Linked DNA regions of Caenorhabditis elegans. The protein of the gene in region 1 interacts with the protein of each later gene in a pairwise test. Each region holds a gene or a part of one and is shown in the gene's direction. Other genes may lie near its edges.

Region 1 (5,348 bases):
AAATTAAACTGAATTTTCATAGAAGAGTTTTCTAACACATAGGCCAGGTAGAGAAAGCCAAAACATGCCATTTTTCCTCCCAATTTCCACTTTTTCATATACCTTCAAACAATTATAGCCAAAATGAGCACTTTGAGCTGGTGCCAAGTGCCAGGCGTGAGAATATCACAAGTGTATAATCAAAGCGGAGAACTCTTTATTTTTCAAATGTTTCCTTGGAAGTATATAATACTCATACGGGTGTGTGTGTTTTAATGTTCAGCATTTTAGGTATTGATAAAATAAGTTCAAGCTAGAAATTTTCCTTGTTTTCCCAAAAAAAAATTTTTAAGGTGGGGTACCGAAATCTGGGAAATATTTTTGAATGAATCCTAATTTTCCCCTGATTCCGAGTATCTATGTGAAAAAATTCAAAATTCAAAACAAGTTTGCCAGATTTTATATTTAAGCTTGAAATCGCCGAATTTCATTTGTATCCCGGTCTCTTTTTTAAATACGCGCTCAAATAAATTAGCATTGGAGCGCGCTTGCATTGTTTGATTTTTTTTCGTTTTTTTACATTTTTTTCAGAAAAAAAAAACCGACAAAAATGAATGAAACTGGTTTTAAAAAAATTGAATTCGGCTAAAATAAAAAAAACTAAACGAAAAAAAGTCAAACGATGCACGCGCGCGCTAATTTATTTGGGCGCGAGTTTGAAAAAAGTGATGCGAGTACAAATGAAATTTAAAAAAAAAAAATTTTTATGAAAGATTTCAAGCTTAAATATAAATTCAGGAAATTTTTTTTGAATTTTTTCACATAGATATTCGGAATCAGGGGAAAATTTAGGGTGAATTAAAAATATTTCCAAGATTCAAGTTTTTTTGGTTAGACCCTTATTAATTTTTGCGTGCTGACGTCACAATTTTTCTGGAAAAATATTCCCGCATTTTTCGTAGATCAAACCGCAATGAGACAGCCTGACACCACGTGTATCGGTTTATTTTTAAGATACCACATGGAAATTGACAAATTCTCGATTCACCATGACTAAAACTAGAATATTAATAAAATTTTAGCTATAAGTATTTGTCTGTTGCTTCTCGACAAAGCTGTAGAAAAAGTTTCGAAAAATTGAATTTTTGAATTTGAATTTTTGATTTTTTTGATCCCAAGTTTTTTTCCAGTTCGTTCCAGTAATAATTATATATATATCTAGGCAAATAAATCTCCCCTCGCTTGAAATAAAAAAAAATAAACTCAAGACATATCAAATAAGCAATCAACTTTCATGTCCGCTATATAAGGTCTGAAACATTTATGGAAAAAGTTTGTTTGCCACAAAGATTTATTCGTTGACATTTTTTAAGAATGTTCCCAAGATGGAAGTCATGAATTTATACTTTCTTGGAATAATTTTATTACCAACTGTTTTCTGATTTTTTTTTGGTTAAAAATGTCCCCCCGTCTCATTTCATTTTCCCGCTAGAATATATTTTTTCTCCTGCAACCTATAAACTTCCGATAATTGATGATATTTAAATAAAAGTGTTCAGTGATATTACGGAAAAAATGCAAAAACCTCAAACTTTCCAAAATAACGTACGACTTTTTAAAAGTAAGTAATTTACATTTAACATGCGTAGTATTATGTTTCTCTAGTTTTACATTTTCCTCAAGTTCTAATAGGAATATATCAAACTTCAAAAGAAATTTAGAGCATTTGGGAGCAATTTGGGCTCGGAAAATTTTTTTGGTTTTTTTATTGTATTTTTAAATTAAAAAAAAAAGAGCCGTGAAATTGCTCAAAAAAAAAAAGGTTTTTTTGCGTGCGGGTTGCATATCCTCATTTTAAAAGTAATTTTTTAGGCTATAAAAATATAAACTTGTGAAAGATATGTTTTTTTCTGGATTTTGTGAATTTCTGGAAATTTCTCTTTCTTTTTTTTCTACCCTTCCCTCACCCCCGCCTGAGCTTATTCTGAAGCCAACACCTAAGCCTAAGCCTAAGCCTAAGCGTAAGCCTAAGCCTAAGTCTGAGCATAAGCCTAAGCCTCAGCCTAAGCCTCAGCCTAAGCCTAAGCCTAAGCCTAAGCCTAGGCCTAAATTTAAGTGTAGCCTTAAGTCTAGACCTAAGCCTAAGCCTAACAATAAGCTTATACTCAGTAGACATCCTTACAAAATTAATTCGATTTCCATGAAAAATTGTAGATCAACCTTGCTGGTCTATTCAAAAGGTTTTTTTCAAATAATTGAGGTTATATTTGAAAGTCCAAGTATTACAAATTAGCACAATAATATCACATGTGCCTCCGCTACTCCAAAATTTCAATTCAAATATTTAAGTTCAAGAAAAGTATTTAATAGTCAAGTATGAGAAACTCATTCCCTCAATTGCATCAAGTATCATCCCTTACCACCAATCCTCCTCTCCCCCTCCTCCTTCTCGAAATCCGGTCTCTTATTCAATTTGCTGGCTCATGCTCTTTTTGTCATCATCTCAGAACTCACCCATCTTCTTCTTCTTTCCACACCAATTGCGCAATCATTGTCGACCACTTTGGCAAATTGTCGTCGTCGTCAACCGTCAAAAGTCCCCCGAGAGTCCAGAATTTCAATTATTTGATTGAAGAGAAGGCGGGGACCTCGAGACCTACTGTATAGAGAAGTCTCTCAGAAGTTCTTTTCATTCGTGCAAAATGGAAACTGACTTGCTCTTCCAACTACTTCAACCCTATTTTGCACTGTTGACGTCTGATGTGAAGCCTCAGAGAAGAACTAGTCACCTGATAAAGGATATACTTGACTTACCAACTGTTAATGGAGAAATTGATGAATTTGGAAGATGCAGTAAGTTGATTTCTTTGGATTAGGTGTATGAAGTTTTGTAGTTGAAAAATAGACTAGTTTTGGGCATGGTGCATTTGAGGTGAAATACTATTCTTTTTGACATGGTGCATCGATTCGTATTTTCTGTAATAGTATTTCACTGGCCTTTTTTTGAGTAAAAATTACAAAAATTACAAGACACAATTTTTATTTCCTTTACTCTCAATTTTTGTTTTAAAATATTAGAAAATCTGAAAAAAATTAAAATGTTTTCGAAATTTTGGAAAAAAAATTTTTTGGAAATTTACTAATTTTGTTCAATGAATTTCGGAAAAATGCTACACGTAGAAAAATAATCAGCCGTTAAGAATATTTTTTCAGAATCCAGCCTCGACCAAGCCAAAGAGTCTCCTATAGAAAAATGTCAAAAAACAAAGAGAAAGAAGGCGCGGACGACATTTTCCGGGAAACAAGTATTCGAACTGGAGAAGCAGTTTGAGGCGAAAAAGTATTTGTCAAGTAGTGACAGAAGTGAGCTTGCAAAACGATTGGATGTCACGGAGACGCAGGTAGGCACGCAGCGCGGCACGCAACGCGGCACGCAACGCAGCCCGCAACGCAGCACGCAACGCGGCACGCAACGCGGCACGCAACGCAGCACGCAACGCAGCACGTAACGCGGCACTCAACGCATAGCTGAAATTTCTCAAATTCCAGGTGAAAATCTGGTTCCAAAACCGGCGTACCAAGTGGAAGAAGATCGAATCGGAAAAGGAAAGATCTGGAGAAATACCGGATGATCAGATTGTGAAGCCGCAATAATTTTATGTTGTTTTTATTTTTCAAAGAAAAAGTCGTGATATATCCCCTTCTATGAAATCCCGTGAACAATTAGTATTTCCAGTATCTTTTTTTCAAAATCAAGATCTCTTCCTTTACCTTGATCTCCATTCTTCTAATAAATAATTATTGCAAAAATATTTACTCGCTCTATTGATAGCTATATTGTGTACTCCACGTGGATATTTTTATTGAGGGTGCTCTTTCTTTTATGTCTCACACGTTAAAAATTAAAGATTACACGATAAAACATTTTATTGCAGACCCGATAAGTACGTCAAATTACACACACAAACACAATTTCCTACAGTCTAGGCAGTCATATATTTCGAGCAGTCAACACTGTTCTTAGTTGTTCTGAAGAATGGGCACTTGGTGTCTGGGCAGTTTAGTGGAATGGTAGGATCTGACAGATTGACTTGATGGTTCTTGGATCCGACTGGTTGAACGATATTGTTCCACAAGTGCTTGGCAACATTGGCGTGGCCTAGTTTTGAGAAATGGAAGCAATCCGGTGCAAACCAATCCAGATTGACTTCTCCGTCGGGCTTGAGTGGTGGAACTGTGATTCCATTGAAGAATGGTTGAACGACAAATGTAAAGTCATCTGTTGAGTCGAAGATTCCCGAGTCTTGAATCTCCTGCTGAGCATCCATGTAAAGATGGCAGGCAGCCGAGATGTCGGTATTCGGGAAGTCCTTGTTCTTCTCGCATGGGCACTCGAACACATGGAGGCCGTCGCAGAAATACTTGTCGTGGTCGATTTGGCGAAGCATGGCCATGTCGAACATTCCGGTCATGGATACGATGGTTCTGGAAGGACTTGGTATTGATGGCATAGTTATGGACCATACTCCTCTTTTTGAAAAAAAAATTTCCATAAAAAGCCGAAAAATGTTGGCTCTTATTATCGAAAAATACGATCGCAAATTTTTTTCATAATTAATTTTTGATCTACCTTTGGAAGTTGACTCTGCCCACGTGGTGTCAGAGTGTCTCATTTTGGCTTGAATTACGTTGATCTACAAAAAATGCGGGAGAAGAGACGCAGAGTTCTCAACTGATTTTGTATGGTTAAGAACGTGCCGACGTCACTTTTTTTTTGGGCGAAAAATTCCCGCATTTATTGTAGATCAAACTGTAATGGGACAGCCTGGCACCACGTGTTTGCCCATAATCTTGTTGCCGTTGTTATTTTGTTGTGGCTGTCTTGTCGAAGGAAGGGGAGGAGCCTAGTCAACAAGGTAGATCAAAAATAAGTTACGAGAAAAATTTGCGATCGTATTTTTTCGATAATATGTTTAACTTTAATTTATAATTGGCACGGAAACGGCCACAATTTTAAAGATTTTTTTGCGCCACTGCTATGGGATCAAGGGTGTGCCAAATTTCCCGAATTTGCCGGTTTCCGAGCAAGGCAAATTTCAAAAATTTGGACATAATTTGTAATTTGCCACAAATGTTTAACAACTTAGTTTTTCCATCAACTCGGTACTTTTTGAGCACCAAAAAATGATGCGCTTTACCGAGTCCGACAACCACGGCAAATTTGCCGAATTTGCCCGAGCAAGGCAAATTTCAAAAATTTGGACAAATTTGGAATTTGCCACAAATGTTTAACAACTTAGATTTTCTGTTAATTTTGGCACTTTTTGAGCTCCAAAAAATGTTGCGATTTACCAAGTATGACGACCCCG
Region 2 (6,261 bases), on another chromosome or scaffold:
AGACTATTATCGGTTTTGGTAAGTACTTTTTATAAAAATTATTATTTTTGGTTCCAATTTTGGAATTGGATCGAAATAAGATTGTCATGCTCTTCATTTCTCTAAAAGTTATTTCTAAATGTTTTCTGTTTTTTCATTCATTTTCGTCTTCATTCAGTGACATCTTCTTTGAAGAATAAAAATTTAGTTGGTAGCACCCTTCAATTCACGCTCACAATCGCCGAAACATTGCGTGAAATTAGAGTTTCCGACTGTGAGCGCAGGCAGAGAAATAGTGAGCGAAGAGACATTGGAGAAGTAACAGGGTGAAGAGCGGTGCGCGAGCGTGTGCGCGTTGCGTGTGTGTGTTGAGTGTAGCTTTTTGTGAGCTTTTCGCTTGAAATTATTTGATTCTAACTATTATAAGCTAAATCAGGTAGCAAATGAAGGCAGAATAAGTTTCATGTTAGTTCAAAACGAAATTTTAAAAAAATTTATAATTTTCAGATTGATCATGGATTCTCTCGATTTCAGCACATCGGAAGTTCGGATATGGTGGCATCGTCTATCAGAACTGGTCAGTGTAAAAAACTTCCCAAATTGTCTTTAAAAAGCGAATTCGTCACAATCAAAAAAGTTTCCGTTTTTTTTTGTTGATTCTCAGTATTTTTCAGATAAAACTGAAAATAAAACATCGCAAAATCGAGAAAAATGAAAGAAATGTCCGAAAAAAAGTCGAGAAAACTATTGTTTTATCCAAAATATGTTGATTTCGATGAGAAAAATAAGAAACTTCTTTTAAAAAATAAAAAAAATCGGAAATTATGAACAATTCTTTATTTTTTAAAAGAAAAATTTAGGTTTTTTTAACAACGAAAATTGAAAAATCGATAAATCAATATATTCTTTTTCGGATTTTTTTCGAATTTCGGAAAATCGATTAAAAAACGAAACAAAAACGAGAAAATTAGATTCACTAAAAAAAGAAGAAATTTCGTTTAAAAAATTTAAAAAATGACCGAAAAACGGAAATTGAGAGATGAAACTAACAATTTTCCTATTTCTCATCAGAAAATTATCACATTAATTTAATTGCAGCTGTTATTTAAATTAAATAAAACATTTTAACCGTTTTTTCAGGTATACCTCGAGCGCCTAGACTCGATACGGTAGAATATTCCAACTATGAACATGAACCTGAAACAGATGAGATTTCTCGAGATGGAACACCATTTTGGTCAACACCAATTCCACCAACTAACAAAGAATTGCCGGTTTCCCCTGTATCACAATTGGACATGACGAATTCAATCAAGAGCAGGTAGAATTAATAAATTAGAATTTTCATTTCATAATTTTTTTTCAATTTCAGAGTGGAACGTGTTGATGTAGAAGTTAAACTGGAACCTTGCAATGACGAAGATGATGAATTTAGTGAAGAAGTTGATGAACAAACTGCTGAATTGGAAGAACAACTAGCAACTGAAGCTATACGGACTGGTTTGGCACTTTTTGGAAAAGTTTCCCCATCTCCAAAACGAATGAAATCATGTGGAAGTTCTGGAAGTGTTTGTGGAGATGTAGTCACAGCGATTTGTGAGATTTGTGGAATTGGAATTCGCCTGAATTCTGGTGGTTCTAAATGGAATTTCTTTGAACACGTAATGATGAAACACTCCACTCATAAACCATTCAAATGTTCCCAATGTCCATATCAAGCTGTACGAAAAGTTCGTGTAAAGCAGCACGGACAATCACAACACAATTCGGAACACGAACCTGTGAATATGATGTGAGTTTTTATTTTGAATTTAAAAAATTTTAAAAAAATTATTTTTTAAAGATTTTAAAAATTGTGCGACAGCTCTTTTTTAGTTGAATCACTAATTCACTGAGATTATTTTTTTTTATCTAATCTCACTCGAAAAGCATGAAAGCCGGTTTCTGTTTTAATTGTATAATTATTTTAAAATGTACGCAATTTGTTTTATAAATTACGAAAATTGCTACTAATGTTGCAGCTGCACCGCAAGATTTTTTTTTTCCATTCTATTTAAAATGGTAATTTTATCCAAATGTGAGGATAAGCCAAAAATTTATTTTTGGCATAAACCCGCAAAAATAGATTTGAAATTTTGAATAAAATGTAAATTTTAGAAATTTTTTTTTCTAGATCATATTTTAGACTAAAAATGTTTCAAAAGAGCATATTTAATTTTTTTTTTAAATTCAATTCTGTCGCAAGATCGCTCCATTAAAAAAAATTAAAAATGTTTGAATAAAATCCAATTCAGACGATGTCCATTTGAAAACTGAATTTAATTCGTTTCATTCCAAAATAAAAAAATCTTACAAAGTCAATTTTTTTCAGAACACCAGAAGTACGAAAAGAATGGCTGGATACAATGGCAAAGTGTTTCCCGAATCATCAATATGGAAAAGAAGCAAAAATTTAATAGTTTCTTTAAATTTTTTTCGTTGATATTTATAATATTTTCTTTTAATTTTAAGTTTTACAACGCAAATTTTGTTCTTACTCGATTTTCAATAAAATCGTCGGTCTTTTTATTATTTGTGGTAATTTCTTTTTTCTTATTTAAATAGTTATTTCTATTTCTGAATATCTTTATCGTGCTCTTGTAATTCCTAATAATATAAATAATATACATAGGTGTCGTCTTCGTACGATTCGAACCCGGCCGGGATGCCGAAATTTGTGGTCATCGAACTGAACGATGATGCAGCAACGATCGATCTTCTCAGTTATTGCGTGAGTTTTTTTATTTATAAAAATTATCTAAAATATTGATTTACTCATTTTCTCTGGTTTGAAACTTTGCATAGAACTTCCAATTGTACCTCTGATTCCTTTTTCGGTCCATATTAACCATTGGTATCCCCTAATTATTCGAATCGACTTCCTAAACAAGGGTGCCGCTGAAAAAATTGTCGGTTTTTTTTGTTGAGAAAATCCAAAAAAATTCACTTTTGAAAAAAAAACGAAAAATTCCGTTTTTTTTTTAAAGAAAAAATCGAAAAAAAATTTGAAAACACTTTTCTTATACGGAATTCAAAATTTAAGTTGATTAAAGTTTTTTTTCAAACAAGTAACCGAGATTTTATTATTTTTTTTGGACTTTACAATTTTTTAAGTGTAATTGAAAATCAATAAAAACTTTTTTTCTGAAAATCGAAAACAAATTTTTTCCGTTTTTTCGCTCTTCCAAAATCCGAAAAAAAGTGCGGTCTGATGCTAACCAAGGATTTCTTTTAAAAAATGTCAATTTTTCTGTTTGAGAAATAATCGAAAATCTAACTTTTTTTTGAGCAATTTTTGTTAAATTTTGATAAATTTCGAAAAATAAATTTTTTAGTTTTTTTGTCTAAAAATGCCAATTTTTTTGAGAGATAATCGAAAAACGAACTTTTTTGGTTTTCCGAAAAAAAAATCAAAATTTAATTTTGTTGAATATAAAACACAAAAGAAAATATAATTTCCTTCTAAAAAAAGCCCAGGCGCTGAAATTTCGAGCAATTTTTGAGAAATTTCGAAAAATCAAAAAACCAAAATTTGTTGAATTTCCAACAAAAAAAACCGAAAAAGCGACACCCTTGATCCTAAAATGTAGGGATTCAACATAACCTATAACTTCTATTCTCTTAGAAATCAGATTTTTGAAGTATAGACTAGCTTGAACATCACTGCAAACATTTTTTTTATATTTCTCCTAAAACCTCTACTCTATCAATGATCTCTCAATTCCAAGCTCTTTCTTTCGCACGATGCTCATTTCGAATTCGACATATATAGCTCCTTTTTTCGGTGCTTCTCCTGTACATAAGAGATCGATGAAATCAATCGTCGTGGCGCTCTCATAAATGTGCAGAAAGGAAGCAAGAGCTGCAGCCAACTGCTGCATCGGCGTCCGTATTTTTTGTTCGCTCTGTTCCCTTTTCCATTTATGCGAGCAACACGGTGATGCTACTTTCATCGACGAGAGATAGTATATGTTGAACGGAGGATTTGAATGTTTCTGTTCACGGAGCAACCGTCCGTTTTCTTTCTCTCAGTATCATCCTCTACCCTTTTTCGAAATATTTCTATATTTGATACTGGAAATTGGTTAATTTTCGCATTTGACAGGTTTGCTCATTTATCGAGATTTTTTAAATCTAAATTCTAAAATCATTAGCGACAATAACTAAAAATATAAATTAATCAATAATTTTCCTGAAACATTAAAATTCCATTTAGTTCTGGTATTTCTGTCCGAACTAATCTTGTAATTGAATAATCTATATTTCATCACAATGTCTTTCTTTTTCTTCTATTCTACGAATACATTTTTGCCTGTACGAGCTCATAATAGAACGCGTTGGCGCCTGCCTCACTTTCAGCATCGTCCGAAGTGTACATACCTCCTGTTCTCCATCATCGTCTTCTCCCATCCCTTTCTCTTTCTCCCATACCGGGTATTGAGCGCCTGTATGCACAATGCACACAACTGACAAAACTGTACTCGTCGCGTCGTTGTCGCCGTTGTCGTGTGCCCCGGCGAGCGCAACCAACAACAAAACTGTGTGAGCGCTGTTAACACCATTTCTTCTATCACCTTCTAAGCATCCCGGTTTGAAAGCGGGTGGTAAGGTGTCCGATATTATAAAACCGCAGCACAATGCTTAGAATGTGTGTGTGTGTGTGTGTGTGTGTGTGTGTGTGTGTGTGTGTGTGGTGTATGCAAATATTGCCGGTGGAGCCGAAGCCATAAAAATCGAGCACATCGTCAGTCTGACGGTATCATTGTGCATCTTTTTTGATACGACTTTTCACTTTTCCGTCACTACACTTAACCTTAAGTCTGCAGACTTCTCTTTTTTCTATAGTATAGACTCTTTATCCCCTTATTACAATAATCGTCTTTACGAGTCCTCATTGCTTCCACTCATTGACTATCCGTACTTATAAAATGAAACTCCTTCTTATTTCTTAATTCTTTGTTCACTTCTACAAGACGCTCTTGACTCCAATTCATTCTCACGCGATTTCGCCCAGTGAGTGTCCGAAATAAGGTCAAATTGTGCATTATGTGAAGTGAGAGTGAAAGGGTCTTCTAAAGTTTTGACCTGGGATACGTCATTCTGAGATTTTATGGTAGGAAGTATTGCTCAAAATCTAGAAGAATTTTTGAATGGTTTTCAAAAAATTATCGACTAATTAAGCAGTTAAAGTACTCGAGTAGAATTTTTTTCGTTGTTTTGAGTTTTTTTTGAAAAGTTAAAAAATGTGCTATCGTTTTCTTTTTAACTCAAAGTAACGTATTACTAAATGTTCCGAAGATCCTGTTAGAGTATCCGTGTCGTCTTTTCTCTCTGAGTTTATGGTATTATGGGAACATTCGCGCACAGTGCGCATTAGTCGTCTCCGTGATCTTTCTCACTCCTCCGTAGCGCATATTATTCCAATCCATGACTTTCTCCTTCTTCATGTCCAAGGAGCGAATGCATATCTCCGTAAAGTCACCCGTCGAGGCCGCAAAGACGTACACCCGCACTTTCGGCTCGCGATGACCTAAATTCTGTGAACGGTTGGACGACGGAAGAAGTTGATGAAATGGTGCGACCTCCTCTCCGCTCTATAAATCGACCCCGATTGGAGCCAATTCAGATGAAATCGTTTTGTGCGCACACACGCTTGTCTAAATCGGATTCGTTCTACCAACGTGATTCACTCGTCGTTCAACCATTATTGCACACAATAGAATCGACAAATCGACATAGGCGCTGTAGGCGACGACGACGACGAAAACGAAGTGATGAGCGCATGCGAGACGAGGGCACCACTCAAACTGGTTTTCGAATCGCTGAGTTACAACCACAGAGGCGGTCGGGCATCACATAGCGAGGCCATCACACATTTTCATTGTGTCAGAGCCACCAATGTCAGAGGAATCGTTAAACACCGTGCATCAAACAAAAAATCAGTGGAAAGGAACGATTGGAGAGTACTGAAGAGAAGAATGGGTTGCTGTAGGAGTGAGCATACGATCAAAAATTCAAAATGTGTAGAATAGGTGTTTTGGAACTTTTTTAAATTCCAAGTGAGCTGTTTGAAGATTTAGCATTGTTTTGGAAGACATTTTTTCAAAATTATCAAATACTAAGGCAAAACAATTTCTTAAAAATTGTCTGAAAATGTGAAATTGTATCTAAAAGTTGTCATTGGCAAAATTTAAAAAATCGTTTTTTTTTGCTGTAAGGTTTAATTTGGAAAAGCTTTCAGAT
Region 3 (5,976 bases), on another chromosome or scaffold:
ATCATCCTCTCCTAACTGCCAAAAAACATACGATGCAGTCCTTCAATATTGATTCAAACGGCGCTGGAGAAGACACTACCCAGAAACTCGATGAACCTTCTGCATTGCCAATCAACAGAGCTCCAACAGTGAGATTAAGTAAGTGAATTGTTAACATTATCAACGTTCATTTGTTTTTTTTTCCAGAAATGTCGTCAATAGTTCCACGAGATGTAGCGTCCAATCACATCAAATGTACAATGTGCCAAGGCTCATTCACCACACAATTGGCGTTGGAATTCCATGAAGTTGAAAGACATCCTCAAGCATTTGTATTCAAATGCACAATTTGTGCAGATATTTTTGCAACAATCGGGTTAATAAACAAGCATCTCGTAACTGAACATAGAAAAGAAACTGTTCCATTGGTTAGAAATATTTTTTCACTTTGACCAGATTTTTATAACATTCAAATTATTTGTTTCCAGCTGGATAATGCCATATTCGGAAACGGTGCACTATCAGACTACGGGAAAAAATCCTCACAGCGTCGTATATCAGGAATGATATGGAGCTTTGTGAGCAGCCATCTTGCTCAATCTGGCAAGTTGACCGGTACAACGAAGGACAATGAGACTATCAAAAAGGAGGCCAAAGTGCTCTTCAACCCATTAGCAAACGTTAGTGTTACATTTAATTTTTAATTTTTACATAATTTAATTTTTAATTTTTACAGCGAGCAGTGGGTTCGCGTCAAAGTGGAGTTACTAATGCTTCTGCTAGCAAAGTTTGTGTCGACGAATCAGCTTCCATCAACGACCTGCTCAAGCAAGCTTATATTTATGGCCCGTCAGTTCACCGCCTACCCATCAACTCCGTTCCAATGTACAAAGTCATTCGTTGCTATGAGCCCGATTTTTTCTCGGAGGAAATGCAAAATCGATATTTAGCGTATGTTTTTTTAAAAATCACTTGGTCAAGTCACGTTCACGTGGTGTCAGAGTGTCTCATTCCGGCTTGATCTACGAAGATCTTCAAAAAATGCGGAAGAAGAGACACAGAGTTCTCAACTGATTTCGCATGCTTAAGATTGTGCTGACGTCAATTTTTTTAGGCGAAAAAAAATCCCGCATTTTTTGTAGGTCAAACCATAATGGGACAGCCTGGTAGCACGTGTGATGTGTCAATTCAATTATATTCTCATTAACACTGACCAATATTCTAATCAAGATAAATTTCAGAAGAAACCCACCGGTTGCACCTGATGCGGCAGTTTTTCGACCAAAAATGCCACACATCGTTTTGCAATCGCCCAGTAAAAAACAGTTTACTCCAGCTACTTTCAACAATCGAGTTAGCTACATCTTAAAGCCGGGAACGAAAGCTGGAACAACCGTTAGACTCATTGTGAGTTGAAAAATCAACACTGATAGATCTTTCAAAAACTTTTAAAATTTCAGAGTTCCACAAAAACCCAACCACGACCTGTAAATAGTGGCATCGCTTATCAATCTTCTGACGTTCAGCCTCAACTTATGAATTCGGAAGCGGGAATTGTCAGATATTTGAACTAGATTCCGTGTGCTGTTCATTTTGGGAAAATTATTTAATTGTAATGCATTTTTTTTCGATAGCCCAATTAATTTGTCCAGAGTAAAGATTAAATTTCTAACTCCCTGTCACTTTTAGATTTGTATCATTTTTAGTACGCCCAATTGTTTTCAACATCTAGTCATTTTTGTCATGTTTTAATATTATCGACTGGTTTCTTATTCTCAATACCATTTTCATTGATCATTCCGTAAATCACGTTGTCTTCTTGTAAAACATTATCCGACGTTTTTTCTTCTTTTAATATTTTAATGATCATACTTTTGTAATTATCCTGTTCATGTGTGAATGTATCAAATGTTTCAATAAATGTTCATATTGAAAATATGCGAAATCTCGTTTTTTTCTTTGTATTTCCCTCATTTTTTCCCTCATTGCCTTGCGTCTTGCAAATTGTTCGCCTCAAGCGTCAAGTCTCATCTACTTTTTTTCTCTGCTGACCACTAGGCTGAACGGTTCTCTCCGCGTTGCCAACGCAGCAGCTCACACTACTCCTCGCCGTCTGTTTGTTGGGTCGATCGATAGGGCCGCATTGGCCACCGCACACAATTGGTTTGACATGAACGGCTTTGGCGATAACTGCCGCCGTCGTGTGGGCCACAGTGAGATAGTAGCACACGCGTTGAATGGCTCGTACCACAAAAGTCGATGAGAGAGCACTGACCATCCCCGTCGAGTTGGTTGGGGGGGGGGGGGGGGGGGAGAGACACTCATACGTTCATCTCGTTTTGTGGAAACACCTCATCATCTAGACACATCATCTAATATTCTATTCCATTTCATTTTTTCAATGCCTCACTCCCCGTCACATTTGTTATGAATGTGTAGAAAATGTAGAAAGTGTGGAAGAATCAATGCTGGAAAGACTTTGCAAAATTTTCCGAAATGTATACGAATATGTTACGAAACTTTTTTTTCATGAAAAATATATTGCATAGCTTTCATTTAGCTTTGTTTCAGTATTGTAAGGTTATTAATATAATTTTATAATTTTTCAAGCAACACAGCTCTAGTTAGAGCTTTTCTTACATAATACTATTTCAATGCATTGTTGGTGTTGAAAAAGTCCTTGTTTATGTCGCAAATAAGGATTATTAATTGCTTTGCACTTTCACTCTTATCTTCAATAATGTTTATTGACTGATAACGTTTCCACTTTGAATCATACTTTAAACAATATCTCGTGTTTTTTGCCATTGTAATTCCCAGATAAATCACACGGTTTTGCTCATTGCGGAACCCTCTCACTTGTACTTTTTCTCCATCTTTTTTTCTTTCGGTCTCGCGCTGCATTTCCCCGTCCTCGCGTTCCCCCATCTAACCTTCCATTCTCTTTTTATTCCAACCGCTCGATTATTTCTCAAATCAATACTGTCTACTTTAAGGGTGAGAAACGGAACATGTTTGGTGAAGAGCACAGTAGCTACGATCCACTAATCAGTGGACTCGAGCCTGAACCATTGGAAACCGTTTTCCAAGAACTTTTCGCGGGTATTAAGAACTATTTCACACAGGAGGAGACGCCTATTCCTTCGAAATTGCAAATTTTGCAAAAGCGTCGGCTCAATGAGAACCGTCCTCAAACGGAACTCAAAGAGCAAAAAACTGAGCCCAAAACAAGATCCCGTCAGTTTGCAATGCTTCGTTGTGGAACGTGTTCTGAAAATTTTGTATCACAATTTTCTTTGGAGCATCACGAGACCCTAAATCATCCCGTGTCGTTTAATTGGTTCTGTTCCGAATGTAATGTTCACTTTGACACTCTACAACAAGCCAGTGACCACACAATGCTGACTCACGGGTGTGGAGAGATGCCGGTGGTGAGAGAAAAAAAAAGAAAAAAAACGTACACATTGGTCGCTTAAAATACATTTTTTTTTGCAGTGTGAGTCAATGCAAAATGCTCGAATACCATCTGGCCCGTTTCTGATGCAAGCCATCACACGCCGTTCCAGTGATTTTGTAAAGGAATTCTTGTTCACCAGAGACAAACAAACAGTGATGACAACCGCATATTACACGTACGCAAAGTGTGAACTGCAGGCAGTTATGTCGGGTAGCATTGGCTTAGTGGTTTACAATCAGGCTAAAAGCGACTTATTGGCAACGGTTAGATAGAGTTCTAAATTTGCAGTTTTTAAAGCAGAACTATTTTTTCAGCTGGAGTCTGCAGATCACGATGATTTTGTGTCGAGCATGAAAAATACATTTATTTACGGGAAATTCATAAAACGTTCGCCTTCGGAAAGCTACGTCCCCTCGGCGACCGTTTTTAAGACACTGACTTTCAGCACAATGCCGCCCCAAGTCAAATTGTAAGAACTACCAAATTTAGGTTTTTAACAATATTTTTCGTTTTAGCAAAAAATCGTCTCGACCGGTTCCACCTGGAAAAAGTCTTGGAGAAGTCGTCTCTAAAATGGCGGCAAGTCAGCCGCAGTACACTGTGCGATCTGCTCCGTACTCAAAGGGTCGAGCGGTAAGATTTTGATAAATGCATTAAGTTACTTGTCATGTCAGAAGGTACTACTACATATTGTATTATCACTATTAGACTTGCTCACCGATTGCTTCACGCTGACAGCTAATATCTCGATTTTCTTTAATTTTATCAAAACATTTTAACTGCGTAATTACGTAAAATAATTTTCAACATATTGACATTGTACTATTTTTGGTACAATTTAAGACAACCGAGATATAAGCTAGCAGGTCTAATAGGACAAGTTTCAGTAGTTACCAAGATTTAAAATACTTCCAAATTCGGATTGTCCAGCATATTTTGTGTGTTTTTTCTTTAGAATACAATAATTACTAATGGGGCTAATCAAGTAATGTCGCGAAATGTAACAAAATGTATTGAAATATACATATGTCCACATTTGTTTTATAAAAAAAAATTTAAAGGGGCGATAATACAATTTACTGTAAAAACTAATAAATAAATCAGATCATCAAAATCCCGACTTCAATTCGTAACCGCAACTACACACTTCCACCTGCAGGCCCACTTCCGCTGCGTCGCACTTTGATTACTACCAACTACACCATGTATCCAGTCAGAAACGCTGTTCAGTGATAATCTCATTTTGAAACTTACCCCCGATTTAATATAGCTACATGTCATTAATCATTTTCTTTTGTCTCACTTAAGTTTTCTGTTACTTTTTTTCTACTTTTAACTTATGCCTCAAGTCACTTCCAAATCAAAACCACGACCTTTTCAAACTCTCTGTTGTTTTTTTTCTGATCCGTGTAATATTATTTATTGTTTCTTTCTTTTTTACTTTTGCAGATTCTCCTAATTGAAAACTTTCAATTGTCATTTTTTTACGGTCCGTTTTAGGAATCGTGTTCTATTTAAATAATTGCCAAAAATAAATCTTTTCAGGTCAATCAATTCGTTTCAATTCTATTACTATATCTTTTGCAAGTGTAAAAATAAAACCAAATAAAATTATTTTTGCTTCCCTGCATTGCAATATAAATAGTGGTGTTCATCGAGAAACGCGCACGCTAACCGGCCACTGGCGTGTTTTTCGTGTACTAGTCACCACAGAAAACTGCAGAGACGCAGAATAACTCCGTATGTTTTTACTGGGCATAACTGTTTCCAATTCCCTGATTTTATTGTTTTCTTTTTTAATGCTTGGTTTAAGTTTAAAATTTTTATTATTCTACTTAATCAATGTGATTATATAAATTTTCAATTTCAGATTTGAATGTCTGCAATCAGGAAGATAATCCAGCGGCAACTTTTCCAGAAAGACGATGAAAGAATTCAAGCAATAGTCAATGTCTCAAAGTTGGATGGAAAAAAGAAGAAAAACCAGACACTACTATGTTTAGCAGGTAAGAATTCTTGGAATTGTCCTGTATAAAAATCGATAACTTGCAGTCACAATCGAGCACCCCATCGCCGTCCGTTTATACTTTGTGAAAGGGGAGAAAGATGATACATTCAAAAAGAAGGACAGGTTCAATTTGAGAGAAGTCAGAGAAATCGACGGAATAAATCCGAAAAAAGTGAGTATTTGAAAATTATATGGATTCACGCAATTTATACGATATATGTAGTGAGCAAATGTGAGCGTAACGAAGAACATAACGCAAAAAATGTGAAGCTTCTCGAATAACTGAGGATTTTCAAGTTTTACGAACACTAATGTTTGATGGAGTTTATCAACCTAAAATAGCTAAAAATTCGCCATTTTGCCGCAACTTTTCAACGATCTTTATCAATTGTAAAAATTGCAATTAGCTAAAGTTAGGTGAGAAGTTGTTGAAAGAATAGTTATTGTACACTAAATTTGTCGAAAAGATGATGCAAATTGCAGGAATTATTTTGACAAAATGGCTTATCAATTAGTTAAATTCGCATTTACT
Region 4 (6,699 bases), on another chromosome or scaffold:
CGATCGATTTGTTTGTTGAGAACCATAGATTGACCGGCTACATCCCAGTTGTGATAACTGTGAGCAGCACATTCAACAATCAACGAGTCAATTGAGATTAAGAAAATTTCAACGTCAGCGAATTCGCTGATAATATTTTTGTAACTGCATGGAAATTGGGCGAGATTCTTCTTCATCATCGAGAGTTGTTCCAGAGAGAAATTGAGAACTTCCGTCGTTTCTCCGAGACTTTCCAAGTCATCCGACATCACGGAACTGGCATCTGAATCGTCATCAGAAGCGTTTTTCTCCGAACCAGCAACACTGTTCTCCAGAATTTGCACTTTTTCAAGGCTCTTAGCTATTGATGGTTGACGGGCTCGTGGAAGAATCACTGGCTTCTCTTCGACCACCACGTTCTCATTTTCGCTGTCTGTAAGATTTTTAAAAGTTGAAGCTTGGAAGGTAAGAAAACAAACCGCTATCATCCCAAGCAGCATTTGCAGACATCGTTCTCGAATTTATATCGAATTGATGAACCCTTTCCAAAGAATAGTAAGCTGACTTATTCCTGAAATCAATATTTTAAAATCAATCATCAACTAGAGGAAAGAAAAGGAAGTTTAGCTCGTTTCTTTCAAGTCTAAGACATAATTTTAAGATGAGCAATTGGATTAGGGATTAAGGTCTCGCACGGAAGAGACAAATCGTTGCAAACTATTTTCGTATCACGAACCGATCAATAACTTTTTTTAAAACAATATGCAGCACGGTAAGCGAACCGAACGAAGAAAACTCATCAACTCCATCAAAAAAAATCCAGAAAAATTCATTATTTATACATTAAATCTCTATTTTAAAAAGCTGAATAAATGGATATCTTTGGAAATCCCCCATAAAAATCATCACACAGAGAAATAAATTAACGGAGTTTGGCGGGCACACATTCTTATTATTTCCCAACAATCAAAAAGAAGAAAAGTAAAAGTGACCAGACTTAGTGTGAATTATAACGCCAACTCCGTAAAGATTAATATAACCTCGTAGGAAAAAACGTCAAAAAGGATGGGAATCGTTCGTTTAGATTGGGAGCTCCATACCCTTACGGGTTTGGACGACACGGGTGACGTAAAGATAGAAGAAATCGGCGTAGAGAACAGTTTGTACAATTCCGGCAACAACGACAATTGGATCGAAATAGTCCTCGGTGTAGTAGCGGTAAATCCAGTTGAAAATGTAGAGAGCGCGGTAGGAGCCAAGAGCGAACAAGTAGTGAGCAGTGATGACCTGGAAGAAGAAACGATGAATATGGGAGAGAGATAGAAGGCTCAATTTGTGGCCTGGTGTCTGCGTCTCTACACCAAAATGTCTAATCCAAAAGAAATTAAGAAAAAAAGATGTCGAGTGTTTGCAAACAACACAGTAAAACTTATGAAAAGAATGGATTAACTTTCAGTCAAATTTCATCAGGTTGTTATATTAGCAAAGTTAAAAGGCTGACGAATCAATTTGGACTACAGCGGAGATGTGCGCGAAATTCGGAATACGGGGAAAACGGTTGGAATCGGGAGAAACGACAATTTCTAAGCACAACAATTTTCTTGTACTATCTCCAATTTTGCCATCTCTGGATTTTACACTTTTTTACGGCATGTCGAATTGAGAGGGAAAATTTTGCACGCTGAAGTCAAATTTGGCGCATTTATTGTATTATTTATTATTTTCCAGATTTACCTCAGCGGAACCGGTAGACTGGAGAAGGAAGAGTTGTGGAAGAATGGCCACAGCCTCCAAATAGATCGAAAAAGTCCAGAGCAACTCAAATGGAGCGAAATCGTGATTGATGAGAAGAGCGAGGATCGCAGCTGGGACGATGAGAAGCTCGACACGGAAGGTATCCGACTCGCGCATGTAAGTTGAGCGGAATTTGAAGAACATCAGATACACTGTGGCGTACGTAGCGGCGAGGAAGGTGATCTGAAATTTGATTGTATTTATAATTGTTACGGACAGAAAGTTACCTTCATTGTAGTGTTATACAAAGAAATGTATGTGGAGAAAAGATCCAAGTATCGAGCAGTGAACACGAGAGCGAACAGAATCTGCGACCGCGCAGAGATTCCGGAGCACGATCTGCTCTTCCAGATTTTGAGCAGAAGGATGATAATCGCAAGCAAGTGCGACATATCTGCCGATATACGGAAGATGTTCATGATGACCCTAAAAATTATCATACTTTGAGAATTTAGATACATACATCAGGTAAAGAAAAGAAAACGCAAATATGAAATGAATTGGAAAACACCTATTCATTCCAGTGAATGGGTATGTTTTCAATTATCGAGGTCAACGTTGTTTATCAAAAGATAACGGATAGAGTGATAGGGAACAGAGAAAATTATATTATATGGACGGTAAAGTTCCGGAGAACGAACAGAAATGGTTTAGAGTTTTCCTTTCGCAGACAAAAAAGAGTGCAATAAAAGCCAGCACTGAATGTGCCACGTGGGAATTTTGAAAAATGCAAATACAACGCAACGAAGCTAAAAAGGTTTACTGAAAAAAACTAAAAAATGGAACTTAAAACATAAAGACAAAATTTTTAAACATTGAATGCAAAAACTACGTGTATTTACAGTTAAAAAACACATAACCCTGCATTCAACAAAAAAACAAACATTTCGATTCGCTAGGTAAAATGCATGGAAATATTCTATGAAAACTAGAATGTTTGAATAGAGCATTTTGTTCGAACGTTCTGAATACCGAATGTTTTTTTTTTGTTTTCGAAAGACCTAGATTTTCTAAAATTGTAGGCCTACATGAACTTTTCAACCATTTTTTGGTATTCACATAATGCGTAGCTACATATTAATCAATTATCGCAAAAAATTTAAACTGTTTAATTGAAAAACGAAACGTTTTAGGCCGGAAACGAAGAAGAAAACTCGAGCCAAAAGGTCCATCAGCCAACGAGTCCACGCTGGACAATACGCAATTTCGCGTGTTGGTGTTTGCGTACATCGGCAGCTGTCCAATTTATCGATCAGTGTTCATTCATTCTCTTGTTTTTTTTGTTTGTTCACACCGGGCGCCCGATTTCTTGAGCTATCAAAATGTTTAAAAATAATCCAAGACAGCTAATCTTACAGACAATGATCTCGGAAAACGGATATATGGACCTGATGCGGAACTGCATTAAATGGAATTCCCGGCAAATGGAGGATCGTAAAAAACGGTTAGTTATTGATGTTTCGGCTACTTAAAAAAGATCCATTTGAAATCTGAATAATCTAAGTAATGATAAATCTTTAGAGCATTTAGGAATTATTTTTTGGTTGTACTAAGCCCCTAAAAGTTGCAGACTGCGGTTCCCATACTATGAACATCAAACGGCTACGGCCCAGCGAGAGTCTCGCTTCACAACCCGCAACGTGGATCACATGTATCCATCAAATGATCCAAATACTGTTGTTCAATTCGCAACCGAGAGATGGAAGAAGAGCAAGTCACAGCCACCATCTGATGCTGTTGAGATGAGCATGTTTTTGCGTGAGAATCCGTCTATTCAGGTTGCAATTGATCATCTCACTCCACAAGTTGTCGGACCAACAACTGGTGAGAAGCATCAGAACGATTCAACCTAATTTTTGTAGTTCGATTTGCAGAAAGTGTTTCTGATAGTTCGAACGACTCAACTACCATCAGACCATCCCGCCAAACACAGATCAAAGAGGAATATCGTGATGACTACGTTCTTGACGATGAGCTCTCTCCAGACGAGTTTGGCTCCGATGAAGATGATTGGTCGTCGCGTAAACGCCGTAAAGGCAACTTGGGGCCTGTTCAGAAAGCAACTTCGTCACGTAAAAAGGTTTCTTTATTTATTCAATTGTTTAAATAATTTTATTCTGACTGTTTAGGTACCAACAACTCGTTCCTCTGTCTCTCGATTGACCCCATCTCGTTCCATAGTGAAGGAAACAAAATATGAAGAACCGGAGGAGAAGACGTATCCATGTGACAGTGAGTGGTTGTACGGCGGATTAGCGAAGCCCTCTCGCCCAGGAGAACACACCATTCTTCTTGTCCTTTTTAGTCTTATTTGCCTCCCCCATCGCCCACAGCATGTCAGTTACCGGGAACACTATCATCATGATTTTTAGTTTAATTTTTCGTATCTTGATTCATTCGGTTTCGAGATTTTTCAAAAAATTAGGATGCTTGGAAATTGCACGAGATTATTTATGTTTTTGCATGCTTTAGTTTTTTTTTTAATTATGCATGTTTCTCCAGAGATCCAAGGAAAATTAAATCAAAAAAATGGGAAATTTGGTCTAAAAAATAAATTTTGGAAGATTATGTATGATCTTTTTTTAATATTAGTTTCATAATTAGTGGTGTGATTTGTAGTACTTCTTCACATAATTGTGGATCTTATCAAATGTATTAGCTTCCTTCCTCTCGTTATCAATTTGCACTAAGTCATAAGCCAATATGTATCCTGAATATCCCATTCTTATATCCCTCCTAGTATTTTATCCCTCTGTAAAAGAAACCTGGGCGAGAGGGACCTCAGTAAAAAATCCTGCGGCAACCGCTCAACTGATCAAAAATACATCTCTCCCACCCGGGACACGGGGTCTATCGAGAGGAAGTTTGTAGAAATATAGGCACTAAATTTAGCATGTACTGAGTGTTCCTGGAAGCTTATATGATGTGGCATAATGGGAAATCTGTGATTTGAAAATACTCTTTTCAAACCGCATATTTCCCAAGTCCTTTCGTTTGTAATTTAAAATTTTTGATAATTTTCAGAATGCAGCGCGAAATACAAAAGCCTCGCGGGTTTAAGCTATCATCAGTCGTATCTTCATGATCAAAAGTCTAGTCAACCACTGGTTAAGTGTAAGTTTTTTGCATTCCAAGCTATTTTCAAATGTATTATTTTTCAGTATTGTCTCCCAGTATAGAAATATCTACTAGCTGTGATTTCTGCAGCGGCACTGCTTTTATGAACAAAAATACAAAATTGCCAGAGGATCTCGTTAGTTGTCATGATTGTGGTCGTTCTGGTCATCCTTCCTGTCTTAATTTTAATCAAAATGTGACCAAAATCATAAAAAGAAGCGGATGGCAGTGTCTTGAGTGCAAGAGTTGCACCATTTGTGGTACAAGTGAAAATGATGTAAGATATTTTCTATTATATTTATAAAGTGCAATATTAATTGGATTTCAGGATAAATTGCTCTTCTGTGACGACTGTGATCGTGGATACCATCTTTATTGTCTGACTCCGGCGCTCGAAAAAGCTCCAGATGATGAGTATTCATGTCGGTTATGTCAAGTTGAATTCGGAGACAAAGCGAGTGCACCGGCCAAGAAGTAATGGTTCTCAAATATTATATTTATTCCAATATTTTTTGCATAATCTCGACCCGTTTGCTTACGATCCTCCCACACCGTCATCCGATTATTTATTCTTCATTTTCACTTGAACTTTAAGTATTATTATTACTACGTAATGGCTCATACATAGAGAAAAATTCTTGTTCTAAAAAGCCAGCCTAAAACCTCACTCACCCCTCCTTCTGCTACTTTGATTTCTCGCTCTTTTCTTTTTTGTACTTCCACATTTTCCTCGTCCTTTTTATTTATTTCAGTCTTATCATAAAAAAGTTCAATAAATACTATGATTCAAAATAAAACACATGTGAAGAAACTCGAACAATATTGGAAGTTTCAAAGAATCAAACGGAACATTGAAAATTCTAATTCAAATTACTATTTTCCAGTTTAATTGACAATTTTTTTTATTAACATCTTGGAGTACGATACAAGGTCTTACAACGATCGAATATATCCAAATGAAAAGAGATAGGCACCTTTAAGAAGTACAGTAACCTTCACGGCCCACTGTTTTGCAGTTTTCTTTCATTTAAGCTAGTTAAAAATATATATAATTGTTTAATTTTAGATAAATATTGTCACATCCAATAGGTTTTTAGAGTAAAAATTACAACAAATAAAATTGCAAAACCATGGGGCGTGGAGATTATATTTGGTCTTGTCGAGACCTGGTACTGTATTTTTAAGTGAAAATTGCAAACTTTCGTATCTGGGTAATATATCTAGTTTTAAAAAATCTAAAATTATCGTTTTAGAATGTTTAATTTACTTTGGTTGTTTCATAAAAAGAGAATTAACTGTTTGTATTCATTTTATTATCATTTTATCATCTTATCTGACCTACTACCATATAAATACCATAACATTATTTTATAACTTTCTCTATTCTTCTCTCTTCCAATATCTTTCACCCATTTATTTTACTTATTCATCGCCCAATTTTATGTCCCTTCTACTCTCCATTCTTTTTTGTCTTTTACTTGAAACAACACATATCGATTACACAATTGTGTTCTTTCTTAGAAATAAAAAAAAACATTTTTGTTTGTTTTTGCATCTCTATTTTCTCTTGCAGTTCTCCTCCTATCCCTCCAAATTTGGAGCTGATTCAATTTGCCGCCGGGGATCTCGGATAACTCTTTGAAGCCAAGAAGCTCAGACACACTTCCACTTCCGTCTCGTGTACTTTTGAAAGAGACTACTTTTAAACTATACTCGTGTACATTTTTGCAACAAAAAATAATGATCAGCATTTTTTTTTAATTTTATAAGTTTTGAAATAATAAATAATTCAAATCCAAATCACTCAAA

The links.
Region 2: the proteins of ceh-9 (region 1) and lir-1 interact in a two-hybrid assay, tested with the Caenorhabditis elegans proteins (one large-scale study listed by BioGRID).
Region 3: the proteins of ceh-9 (region 1) and ztf-13 interact in a two-hybrid assay, tested with the Caenorhabditis elegans proteins (one large-scale study listed by BioGRID).
Region 4: the proteins of ceh-9 (region 1) and dpff-1 interact in a two-hybrid assay, tested with the Caenorhabditis elegans proteins (one large-scale study listed by BioGRID).

The regions. Positions count from the first base shown.
Region 1 is NC_003279.8:563,725-569,072, reverse strand, and holds ceh-9 (Homeobox protein ceh-9), read left to right. Parts: upstream 1-2,484; 5' UTR 2,485-2,681; coding exon 2,682-2,832; intron 2,833-3,192; coding exon 3,193-3,380; intron 3,381-3,528; coding exon 3,529-3,633; 3' UTR 3,634-3,789; downstream 3,790-5,348. Other genes in the region: Y65B4BR.1 (Lipase_GDSL domain-containing protein), read right to left, coding at 3,963-4,464.
Region 2 is NC_003280.10:7,669,360-7,675,620, forward strand, and holds the start of lir-1 (LIn-26 Related), read left to right. Parts: upstream 1-2,645; 5' UTR 2,646-2,683; coding exon 2,684-2,749; intron 2,750-5,504; exon of another isoform or gene 5,505-5,640; intron 5,641-6,261. Other genes in the region: lir-2 (C2H2-type domain-containing protein), read left to right, coding at 1-18, 487-556, 1,120-1,300, 1,352-1,771, 2,351-2,435.
Region 3 is NC_003284.9:3,099,174-3,105,149, reverse strand, and holds ztf-13 (C2H2-type domain-containing protein), read left to right. Parts: upstream 1-2,870; 5' UTR 2,871-2,990; coding exon 2,991-3,410; intron 3,411-3,474; coding exon 3,475-3,699; intron 3,700-3,750; coding exon 3,751-3,905; intron 3,906-3,951; coding exon 3,952-4,069; intron 4,070-4,540; coding exon 4,541-4,669; 3' UTR 4,670-4,984; downstream 4,985-5,976. Other genes in the region: K10B3.5 (C2H2-type domain-containing protein), read left to right, coding at 1-138, 187-407, 468-659, 716-930, 1,221-1,386, 1,440-1,553; sec-3 (Exocyst complex component 1), read left to right, coding at 5,313-5,442, 5,489-5,616.
Region 4 is NC_003281.10:5,902,551-5,909,249, reverse strand, and holds dpff-1 (Zinc finger protein dpff-1), read left to right. Parts: upstream 1-3,127; 5' UTR 3,128-3,134; coding exon 3,135-3,217; intron 3,218-3,343; coding exon 3,344-3,597; intron 3,598-3,635; coding exon of another isoform or gene 3,636-3,647; coding exon 3,648-3,853; intron 3,854-3,902; coding exon 3,903-4,005; intron 4,006-4,797; coding exon 4,798-4,887; intron 4,888-4,934; coding exon 4,935-5,167; intron 5,168-5,218; coding exon 5,219-5,368; 3' UTR 5,369-5,687; downstream 5,688-6,699. Other genes in the region: putative helicase C28H8.3, read right to left, coding at 1-412, 459-489; ER lumen protein-retaining receptor erd-2.2, read right to left, coding at 1,060-1,266, 1,714-1,956, 2,001-2,192. UniProt on the Caenorhabditis elegans protein: Probable transcription factor, involved in meiosis and stress protection.